Linked DNA regions of Macaca fascicularis. The protein of the gene in region 1 purifies or fractionates together with the protein of each later gene. This does not show direct contact. Links are inferred from orthologs where the notes say so. Each region holds a gene or a part of one and is shown in the gene's direction. Other genes may lie near its edges.

What was found.
Region 2: the proteins of KPNA1 (region 1) and ANP32E purify together in Homo sapiens (affinity purification with mass spectrometry; 4 studies listed by BioGRID and IntAct, with this or other methods). This does not show direct contact. The link is inferred for Macaca fascicularis from reciprocal best matches to the Homo sapiens genes KPNA1 and ANP32E.
Region 3: the proteins of KPNA1 (region 1) and PHAX purify together in Homo sapiens (co-immunoprecipitation; 4 studies listed by BioGRID and IntAct, with this or other methods). This does not show direct contact. The link is inferred for Macaca fascicularis from reciprocal best matches to the Homo sapiens genes KPNA1 and PHAX.

What each region holds. Positions count from the first base shown.
Region 1 is NC_088376.1:160,795,184-160,798,830, forward strand, and holds part of KPNA1 (importin subunit alpha-5), read left to right. Parts: intron 1-361; coding exon 362-493; intron 494-2,026; coding exon 2,027-2,115; intron 2,116-2,437; coding exon 2,438-2,537; intron 2,538-3,647. UniProt on the Homo sapiens protein: Functions in nuclear protein import as an adapter protein for nuclear receptor KPNB1. Binds specifically and directly to substrates containing either a simple or bipartite NLS motif.
Region 2 is NC_088375.1:111,027,791-111,031,537, forward strand, and holds the start of ANP32E (acidic leucine-rich nuclear phosphoprotein 32 family member E), read left to right. Parts: upstream 1-1,318; 5' UTR 1,319-1,654; coding exon 1,655-1,708; intron 1,709-3,747. UniProt on the Homo sapiens protein: Histone chaperone that specifically mediates the genome-wide removal of histone H2A.Z/H2AZ1 from the nucleosome: removes H2A.Z/H2AZ1 from its normal sites of deposition, especially from enhancer and insulator regions.
Region 3 is NC_088380.1:133,172,011-133,175,757, forward strand, and holds the start of PHAX (phosphorylated adapter RNA export protein), read left to right. Parts: upstream 1-1,311; 5' UTR 1,312-1,324; coding exon 1,325-1,420; intron 1,421-3,747. UniProt on the Homo sapiens protein: A phosphoprotein adapter involved in the XPO1-mediated U snRNA export from the nucleus.

The sequences.
Region 1 (3,647 bases):
TTCCTTTTTAATGCTTTTAGAAAATATGGTATAATGCCATATTAATGTACACTGTTTGCATTTTGTTTTCATGTATATCTTGGGAGATCATCCCATATCAGCATATGTAACACTCCCTCATTCTTTTTATGGCGTCATGTTTACTCTTTCTTGAACTGAAATTTTAGACACCCTGAATATTCTTCTAGGTTGAGGTGTCTCTTCTGGATGTTCTTTTAAAATTAATAAAGTACTCAACTGATAGGCTACGTGCAAATAATGATCTCAGAATCTTTTTTTCATGTACAGAAAATGTTACTGTTATAAGTAAATAAGCTTTTACATTCTAAAATGATAATGAAAATTATTTTTATCTTTATAGTTTGAATCAGCTTGGGTACTGACAAATATTGCTTCAGGAAATTCTCTTCAGACCCGGATTGTGATTCAGGCAGGAGCTGTGCCTATCTTCATAGAGTTGCTCAGCTCAGAGTTTGAAGATGTCCAGGAACAGGTAAAAATGAAACAAAAGGAAGCAGCTGAAAGAAATTTTTCGGCTGGGCACGTCGCTCATGCCTGTAATCCCAACATTTTGGGAGGCCGAGGTGGGTGGATCACAAGGAGTTCGAGACCAGCCTAGTCAACATGGTGAAATCCTGTCTCTACTAAAAATACAAAAATTAGCTGGGCGTGGTGGTGTGTGTCTGTAATCCCAGCTACTTGGGAGGCTGAGGCAGGAGAATTACTTGAACCCAAGAGGCGGAGGTTGCAGTGAGCCGAGATCGCGTCATTGCACTGCAGTTTGGGCAACGAGAGCAAGACTCCGTCTCAAAAAAAAAAAAAAAAAAAAAAAAAAGAAACAGTATTTCCCTTCAGTCATAATAAGGGGCTGAGTTTTGCCAGTTGGCTTTGGTAATCTATGGATTGTCACAAAGGAGTGTTCTAGAAATTTAGTCTTAATCAAATAGAAAATGTCTTAGTGACTGTAGGCGGAATTTCTCTTAGACACAAAATAATCTTCCCCTTCCAAACCTGACATTCTTTAAGCCATGTATATGTACTTTTTTAGACCATGTAAGCAGTTACTGATAGAGGTTTTTTCTTGTAGAAATTTCAAGTGTTGAAAGTAGACCAGTTGCTGTGGCTCATGCCTGTAATTCCAGCACTTGGGAGGCTGAGGTGGGCAGATTGCTTGAGCCCAGGAGCTCGAGACCAGCCAGGGCACCATGGTGAAACCCCATCTCTACAGAAAATAAAGTAGGTGGCCATGGTGGCACACGCCTGTTGTCCTAGCTGTTTGATAGGCTGAGGTGGGAGGGTTCACTTGAGCTCCAGGAGGTGGAGGCTGCAGTGAGCCGAGATCACACCACCATACTCCAGCCTCGGTAACAGAGCGAGACCTATCTCAAAAAAAAGAAAGTGGCTAGTCTTTGCTACTTTTGTGCAGAAGGGTACAGAAAACAAACTTCTTTTTGTTCACTGTTTTCTTATGTAAGCAAGAAAATTCTCTTTTTCTTGCTTTCTTGCTTTACTTTGCTTTTCTTTCTTTCTCTCTTTCTCTCTCTCTCTTTCTTTCTTTCTGTCTGTCTTTCTGTCTGTCTGTCTTTCTGTCTTACAATCTCTGTCACCCAGGCTGGAGTGCATTGGCTCAATCTTGGCTCACTGCAACTCTGTCTCTCAGGTTCAAGCAATTCTCATGCCTCAGCCTCTCGAGTAGCTGGGATTACAGGCGCCTACCACCACACCTGACTAATTTTGTATTTTTAGTAGAGATGGGGTTTCACTGTGTTGCACTCCAGACGGGGTGACAGAGTGAGACTCTGCCTCAAAAAACAAAAACAAACAAAAAAGAATTAGTTCTTTCCTTTAATAAACTGAAAACCTCTGTTTATTGTATACTCTTGGATACTACTTATCTTCCCCCCCCAATCCTACAACTATTTCATTTGACTCGCCAATGAACGTGTTATTGTGGTATACTGGCATCTGAAAGAATTATGAGGGAATTAAACTATGTAGCCTTTATTAATGAATGATTCTTTCACAGGCAGTCTGGGCTCTTGGCAACATTGCTGGAGATAGTACCATGTGCAGGGACTATGTCTTAGACTGCAATATCCTTCCCCCTCTTTTGCAGTAAGTTTCTTCTTCCTTCTTCCTTTTTGAGAATAAAAATGTAAGAGATTCCTCAGAAAGCATTACATCTTTGGAAATCATTTTGGATTTTCTAGTGTTATTTTTTATTCCAGATATTTTCTTGTATAGATCATTTCCTCCAGCACCCTATCTTTTTCCGTGCCAAAATTCTGAATTACTTGCATCAGAATTAATGAAGTTTTAATGTTTTGGAGAAAAGCTGTCTGAAGACATCTCTTTATCAAAAGTATTATTTAGTATTTATGTCATCAGATAATCACTGTCTGTTATATAGTTTACCATTGTACCATCGTGCTTGTAGGTTATTTTCAAAGCAAAACCGCCTGACCATGACCCGGAATGCAGTATGGGCTTTGTCTAATCTCTGTAGAGGGAAAAGTCCACCTCCAGAATTTGCAAAGGTAAGGACTATGCTTTTGGGACATTGGCAGAAAAATACAATTAAAAGAATATAGCAACCAATAGTAAGGTGAACAGAAAGATAATTTTTGTTAAAATTTAAAATGTTAGAATTTTATCTGTTTTCAGACAAACAGTGTTGTTTTTGTTGGTTTTCTTTATTATTTAAAAAGCAAATTTAAAGCATAACTTGAAGGTGCACATTTACGAAGGGACTGCAAATAAAGCATAGCATGAAGGAAGAATTTGTAAAGCTTATTGAAATTAGGCTGCATACAATTAGTATACTGTATTAAGAGACTATCCTTTCAGTTCTCTTAAAACAATGGTTCTCAAAATGTGATCTGTGAGTTCTCTGGGAGTCCATGAGATTCTTTTTTTTTTTTCAACAGGTTTTTGGGGAACAGGTGGTGTTTAGGTACATGAGTTACTTGTTGAGTGGTGATTTCTGATATTTTGGTGCACCCATCACCCAGGCAGTATATACTGTATCCAGTGTGTAGTCTTTCATTTCTCACCCACCTCCAGTCCTTTCTCCCTGAGTCCCCAAAGTCCATTGTATCATTCTTACGCTTTTGTGTCCTCATAGCTTAGCTCCCACTTAATGAATGAGAACATCTGATGTTTGGTTTTCCAGTCCTGAGTTACTTTACTTAGAATAATGGTCTCCAGTTCCATCCAGGTTGCTGCAAATGCCATTGTTTCGTTCCTTTTTATGGCTGAGTAGTAGTCTATGGTATATATATCACATTTTCTTTATCTACTTGTTGATTGATGGGCATTTGGGCTGGTTCTGTGCATTTGCAATTGTGAATTGTGCTGCTCTAAACCTGTGTGTACAAGTATCTTTTTCGTATAATGGGTAGATACCCAGGAATAGGATTGGGCATCAAATGGTAGATATACTTTTAGTTCTTTAAGGAATCTCCACACTGTTTTCCATAGTGGTTTTACTGGTTTACACTTCCAGCAACAGTGTAAAAGTGTTCCCTTTTCACCACATTCATGCCAACGTCTATTTTTCTTGTTTGTTTGTTTTTTGGTTTTTTGAGACAGTTTTGCTCTTATTGCCCAGGCTTATAGTGCACTCGTATGGTCTTGGCACACTGCAA
Region 2 (3,747 bases), on another chromosome or scaffold:
GGATTACAGGCGCCCGCCACCACACCCGGCTAGTATTTTGTACTTTTTGTAGAGACGAGGTTTCACCATATTAGTCAGGCTGGTCTCGAACTCCTGACCTCAGGTGATCCCACCGCCTTGGCCTTCCAAAGTGCTGGGATTACAGGTGTGAGCCACCACATCCGGCTAAAAGATAATTATTATCCTACTCTTTCATATCCCATCCCACATAGACAAACTGGTTTTGTTTTGTTTTTTTCCTTCTTCTGTCTTGAACACTAAATTTTAATCCCCTGAGGGAGTGCACTGTTCCTGGAGGTACTGTAATACCAGGTGGATGCGTTAAGTGAACAAGAAAGCTCCTATTGCGTCTTCCTGCTCCCCAAATCCATTTAATATATTGGACTCGGATAGAAAATATATCAGATATTAAACTGTTAAGAACAGATCCTACACTTGATCTTAGCCAAAAGGCAGAGAAGAAGCGATAAACACTTTTAAAAGCACACTTTACCTACAGATTTCCATGGAAACCAACCAAAGGGAAATTAGAGAGGCATTGCTGTGCCATTTCTATGCTAATTAATGTCTGATTTTCATTAGGCCAGCGTTGTTTTTCCTCCAAGGTCTTAGTGTTTATTACAGCAAAAATTAACTCAGTAACAATTCCTCCAGGATAGTTTTATTTAAATATTATTAACTTACATACTTCACCCAACAGCTTTCAAAATTGTTGTCTTTTATAGTGTTAAACTACCATCTTTAAAATCTTGGCTCTGGCTCTGCATCACGGAAGGTCAGCCTCTGTGAAAAGCCTGACCCCAGCAGGACAATGCCACCAAGGCATCTTTTTAATGTGATGCGCACGTTGCTGTACACCTTGGCTGCAAAGCAGAGGCTGTGTTTTTAAAACGGCCAAGAGCCAGTGCATGCCGTGTGGTGAATTATCAGTATCGCAAGTTGGGCACGGAAGGATGCTTTCTCCCTCTTTAACACTAACAACAGAATAAAAAACCAAAAACTAAAAACCAAATCCAACAGACAACAAAACCGTCCGAGTGCCCAGGGAAAGCGCGCCAACTACATAAAGAAAAGTAGGGGGGGAACTGGGATTCAAAATCATTACTCCCGAACGTACACCCTCCTGGACCTATCAGAATTAACTGCGCCCTTGATCGTAGCCAATAGATACGGAGTTTCTGGTCCAGGTCCTCCCTGAAGACTGATAGACATTTACCTAGCCCAATGGAATAATGTGACGCTAAAGAATCAACCAATACGTTTGGGAGGTGGGTGGAGTGTAGGCCAGGGGGTTGGCGGTGCCGTGTCATGGAGGCTCAGTCTCTGAGCAGCCATTGAAGGGGAAGGAACTGCGGGTGTGTGTGTGTGTGCGTGTGTATGTGTGTGTGTATGTGTGTGCGCGCGTGCGTGCGTGTGAGTGCGCGCGCTAGTGTGTGGACAAGGAGGTGGGGGCAGCTGAGTTAGAGTCCCAACTCTTGGACTCCATTTGCTATTCTCTTCTTTCTCCCCCACACCTATCTGGTGGTAGTGGGCGTTTATATTTGCGTTCCTTTTCATTCATTTCTAAATCTCTTAAAAATTTTGGGTTGGGGGTATTGGGAAAGGCAGGAAAGGGAAAAGAAGGAGAGTAGTAGCTGAAGAGCAAGAGGAGGACATGGAGATGAAGAAGAAGATTAACCTGGAGTTAAGGAACAGAGCCCCGGAGGAGGTGAGATGACTCAGCCCCCACCCCTTCCCCATCAGTCCTGTATTCTGAGGATCGGATTTCTGGTGGTCCTGGGTGGGTGTGCGGGGATGGAGTAATAAGTTAGCCCCCGCCCCCCCGGTTTAGGGTTGGGGAAATGTTTAATTTTAAGTTTTAAATCATTAAAATCTTCTACTTAAAATGGCGAAGGGTTGAAGTTTCTAGGGGCGTTTTTGTGTGTGCATGGGGGCTTAGCTCCTTTCGGCTTTCATCGAGTCGGGCGTCCTGGCCTCGTGGGGGCGGGAAGCGGGCTGGTGGGGGCGCTCTGCCGCTTCGCTCCCGGCGCTCCTCCTCCTGAGGGCCAGCGGCGTGGGACGCGACCCCCCAGTCCCACTCGGCCCCTGCCGCAGCCATCGGCGCCTGAGAAGTTAGTCCAACTTTTCTGCAGTGCGGCCAACTCATCTTTTTGGGGGGTGGGCTCCCCCGGCCTCGAGGCCCTGGGCGTCCGACGTCGCGACGGGCGCGGACTGGGGTCGCTTTCAGGGTCCGCGCACTGTCTGCTCCGGCGGCGCCCACTCCTCCGGGAAGCCGCGCGCGCTGCCCTCCGCCCTCCGCCCTCCGCCCTCCGCCCGGCGGAATCTGGGTCAGCCGCGGGTTCTCTGACCGCGGGCGAGTTTGGGGACTCGTCGCAGTGACCGGAGGTGGGGAGGGGACGGGAGGCGTAATCCGCTTCTTCCCCCGCCGTGTAAAGATATGTGGCACGTCGTGTGGCCGCAACTCTTGAATTTGATCCCTGGAGACGGTTTCACAGAACTCAACATTAAGGGACGTAGTAGTTTCGTGCTTTAAAGATGGGTTCGCCGAAACTAAATGATGCGCTCTCACTGCTGTTGCCTTAGTTAAAGAGACGGGGTTGGGAGGGGCCACATGAGGCGGGGTCGCGGTCAACTTTTCGGGGGTCGGGCAGGAGGCGTTTCCGCCTCCTTTTCGCGGTTGCCTCCTCGGCCTCACCTACCCAGGGCGAAGGCGCGAGGGCAACGCGGGTTGGGAGGCGACCCCTTTTTTCCTTGGGGAGTCCCCGCCCGGTGTGGGGTTTCCCGTCAGTCGGAGCGGCAGGTCGCGAGAGCAGGGCTGGTGGCCAGCGGGGAGCCTCGCAGAGGAAAGCATCTGTCTTGCTGAAAGAAGCCCTAGAATTGGAATGTAAGGGAGTTGTCTGTAGCTGGATCGACCGATCGATAGAAGGATATAACGGGTGGTGTCTGTGCAGACCCGCATAGAGGATGAGCAGGGTCTGTCTAGGCTTTCGCGTACGGCGTGTGGAGTGGCAACTAAGACTTTTTTTTTTTTTTTTAATACATTTTTTTTTTTTTGAGACGGAGTCTCGCTCTGTCACCCAGGCTGGAGTGCAGTGGCCGGATCTCAGCTCACTGCAAGCTCCGCCTCCCGGGTTCACGCCATTCTCCTGCCTCAGCCTCCCGAGTAGCTGGGACTATAGGCGCCCGCCACCTCGCCCGGCTATTTTTTTTTTTGTATTTTTTAGTAGAGACGGGGTTTCACCGTGTTAGCCAGGATGGTCTCGATCTCCTGACCTTGTGATCCGCCCGTCTCAGCCTCCCAAAGTGCTGGGATTACAGGCGTGAGCCACCGCGCCCGGCCTTTTTTTTTTTTTTTAAGGTGCCTGTTTTCTGAAATTGGCAGGGGCCAGGGAGGGGAAACAGTTGCTTGCTATCAGGGTCATCCCGGAGAGATCTTGAAGTTTCTAGAACTTATTCTTAGGGGCTTCAGGGAAAAAACAAAATCAAACTTGAAAAGCTGTCTCTCACAAGCACACGTTTAGAATACTTTTTGGTGGCTTGGGTTGGAAAATTGAATCCCGCCCCCGCCTCCCCCGCCAGGATTCTTTGACTTAGTGATTGTAGTAATTTCTTTGCCAGTTTTGGGAGTGCAGGACGTTGCCTTTTTTCAGCTTCTTCCTCTGTGTTGTAATAACGGTCTCTTACATTTGTGTAGACAGTTTACAAAGCACTTTTTCCGTTTGTTATTTACTTTCCTCCTTACACACT
Region 3 (3,747 bases), on another chromosome or scaffold:
TTGAGGGAAGGGCCTTCCAGGCCGAGTGAACAGCAAATGCAGAGGGCTTGCCTGAGGAACAACAGGTTCAGCGCGCCCGCGGCTGGGCAGGGGGACACACCAGGACCAGTGACCTGGTGCCCAGTCCACATAACCTTGTTTGCCATTGTAAAAAGTAAAATAGAGGTTCCTCTTCAAAGACTTTCCTCCCCATCTAATTAGGAATAAATAGTAACCTCTCTTAAAAGCAAAATTTATTCAAAGACCTGTGCTAACATTCTTAAATATCTGCTAGCTATAATAAAATAAATGTACTTTATGTTCTTATCTCCCACAATTTAGCCTAAATATTTGCCCTGGCATGCTTATACTAGTCCAAGCAAGCATTAGGTCATAGCCTGTTCCTCTTCCTTATTTAAAAGTGTTTTTGTCTTTCTCCACATTCCACAAGGTACTTCTTCCTTCCTTTGTTCTCCTCTACCTTTGCCTCTTTTAAAAAGTTCCAAGTTGCTAGCCAATCCCGAGGAATACAAAATGTGAGGTCCTGTTCCAGCCAATAAAAACCAGCCACAGCAGTAAGGTAAACGCCTCAGCTTACAAATGACCCTGTCTCCTTTGTTCAGTGTACTCTCCTGGCAAAACTGCTGGTGGGCGTACCCTTTCTGCAGAAAGTAAAAATGGCCTTACTCAATAAATTAAATTTATGTTCAAGTGCTATTTCTTTATGACACCGAAAAACAAACATTTCAAACACCATGCTGAGAACTCAGTCCTTGTTTTGAGGAGGGGTGCACTTGGAAGATTCCAGCTAAGGTACAATCGTCCCTCGGTATCTGCCGGTCATTGTTTTCAGGACCCCCACAGATACCAACATAGGCCATGCTCGAGCCCCCTTATATTATGTGGTGGTGCACAGTGCGTCCTTCCCATCCGCAGGTTTGGCATCTGTGGATAGGGAGTGGATACAGAGGGCGGACTATACCGCTTGAAAGGCTTCCCTGGAAGCAATATGTAGAGTGGGTAGCGGAGGAGCAAGAATGGAAGCAAGGAGGCTTGTCCAGAGCATACAGGCGAAGGATGTACGGCCAAGGGGGGAATCCCAGACGACCGCGATTCGTGACATATTTTTGTTTGCACGAAAATAAAGTTCGAAAGAAAAGTGTTGGGGGAACAAGGGATTCATTTTCCCGCGGTAGTTGAAACGCAATGGCTACGCCTCAAGCCGCTGCAACATGCTGGCCTCCGTGCGGGGGCGCCCAAACAGGCGCGCCGCCGGGCCTTCCGGCCGCACCGCCGGAAGTGCTCTCCTGACCCTCCGCCGCGCAGCTCATCGCAGGGCAGGAAGATGGCGTTGGAGGTTGGCGACATGGAAGATGGGCAGCTTTCCGACTCGGATTCCGACATGACGGTCGCACCCAGCGACAGGACGCTGCAATTGCCGGTGAGTGTGAAAGGAGGGTGCGTTATCGTGGCTGGGCGCGCCGAGCCTGGGCCGCGGAAAGCGCGCAGGCAGCGGTGAGGGTGAGGGGTGAGAGCTAGGAGCCCGGTCCGGACCGGGCTGCTCGGTCAGTGGCGGCAGAAAGGGCGAGCAGGCGTCCCCCGGGCGGGCTCACGGAGCCCGGGCTGCAGGGGCCGGCAGCGAGGGGCGGAGGCGGCGGCAGCGGCTGGGCGTGCGAGCCCCAACCTGGCGGCTCCCTGCGAGGCCGGGCGCGCGAGCCCTGGCGCCTCCTGGAGGCTGGCTTGGCGGCTGTCTCTTGGCGGTCTCACCTCCACCTACCGCTCTTTGTTTTTTTCTAAACTTAGGGCTTCCCCACTCCAGCGCCGCTAGGTGACCATTAAGGGGCAGATTTTGCCAGATGTGTAGCATCTGGGGACATTGGCCTGAAACAGCCTGTGGTGCTCCTTTTCTCCCTGAGACAGAGACTGAGGCCCAGGAATGAAGTTTATCAGAGTTCACTTAAAGAGCTGGTTTTCCTTGTTTCCACCGAACCTAGCTTTGTCATGCGGTACCATGGCACTAGGTTTTTGTGGTAGCTTCTCTGGTTTTGTTTGTTGTTTTAAGACAGAGTCTCACTCTGTCACCCAGGCTGGAGTGTAGTGGCGCAGTCTTGGCTCACTGCAACCTCCGCCTCCCGGGTGCAAGCGATTCTCCTGCCTCAGCCTCCCGAGTAGCTGGGATTACAGGGGCCTGCGGCCACGCCCGGCTAATTTTTATATTTTTGGTAGACACGGAGTTTCACCATGTTGGCCAGGCTGGTCTCGAACTCCCGCCTGAAGTGATCCACCCGCCTTGGGCTCCTGAAGTGCTGGAATTACAGGCGTGAGCCACCGCGCCCAGCCTAGCTTTTTGTATTTTTATTAGAGACGGGGATTCTCCATGTTGGCCAGGCTGGTCTTGAACTCCTGACCTCAAGTGATCCACCTGCCTCGGCCTCCCGAAGTGCTGTGATTAGAGGCGCGAGCCACCGCGCCGGGCCCAGCTTCCCTGCTTTCTAAACGGTAATTTGTCTTGACTGCCTTAGTAGGTAGCAACCTCTTTGAGGGGGCTTTGGTGCCAGATTGCCTGTGTTCAGATCCTGGGGCCACCGATGTGTGACCTACAGCAGGTTTATTTAGCCTAACTGCTTTTTGTCTCCATCTATGGAATTGGCATGATGTTCCACTGATAGGGTTATTGCAAGGATTCTATGGAGCATACAGTGCGCGGTAATGCCTGAAAAGTGTTATCTCTGATCATTATTTGAAGATAGTGGGAGATAGATCCTCCCTACTTGCGTTTCCAGCGTAGTAGGAGTTTTAACAAATACAAATACTTGCTTTTGCATATAAATGTTTAGGAAATTAGTACCAAGATATTTTGTTTTTCAATCTCAGGTTGTTTTTACATAAATTGACCCATGACTTGGTAAATAAACTTAATGCTGTGGACTGTGGGGTTTTAAAAATATGCCCAGGCCGGGTGCGGTGGCTCACGCCCGTAATCCCAGCACTTTGGGAGGCCGAGGCAGGTGGATCACGAGGTCAGGAGATTGAGACCATCCTGGCTAACACAGTGAAACCCCGTCTCTACTAAAAATACAAAAAAATTAGCCGGGCGTGGTGGCAGGCGCCTGTAGTCCCAGCTACTTGGGAGGCTGAGGCAGGAGAATGGCCTGAACCCGGGAGACAAAGCTTGCAGTGAGCCAAGATCGCACCACTGCACTCCAGCCTGGGTGACAGTGCGAGACTCCCTCTAAAAAAAAAAAAAAAAAAATCATGCCCAGCCTAGGCAATATGGCAGAACCCCATCTCTACAAAAAATGCAAAAAAAAAAAAATTAGCTGGTTATGGTGAGGGTCCCTCAGGAGGCTGAGGTAGGAGGATTGCTTGAACCTGGGAGGTTGAGGCTGCGGTGAGCCATGATTGCTCCACTGCACTCCAGCCTGGGCCACAGAACAAAACTTTGTCTCAAAAAAAAAAAAGTAACAATTATTATGTATGTCATTTTAAAACATTCTGACAATAACTGAAAAGTTTGAAATCTTTTAAAGGTGACAAGAACTTTGGTAATATAGTAAAAGGATATCTTAGAACAAAGTGCTGCATTAGTTGTAAAGATAAGAATTTGTGGCTTTTAAATTGGCGAATTCCATGTGGAACTTAGAAAAGTAAGGATTTGATTGGTCTCAGACTTGTCTTTGAAGATCAGTTCCTTTTGGAATGGCGCAGTTGAATCTCTAAATTTTTAAAAATTAGGTAGGTGGAGTTTATGTGTTTTGTGAAATGGAT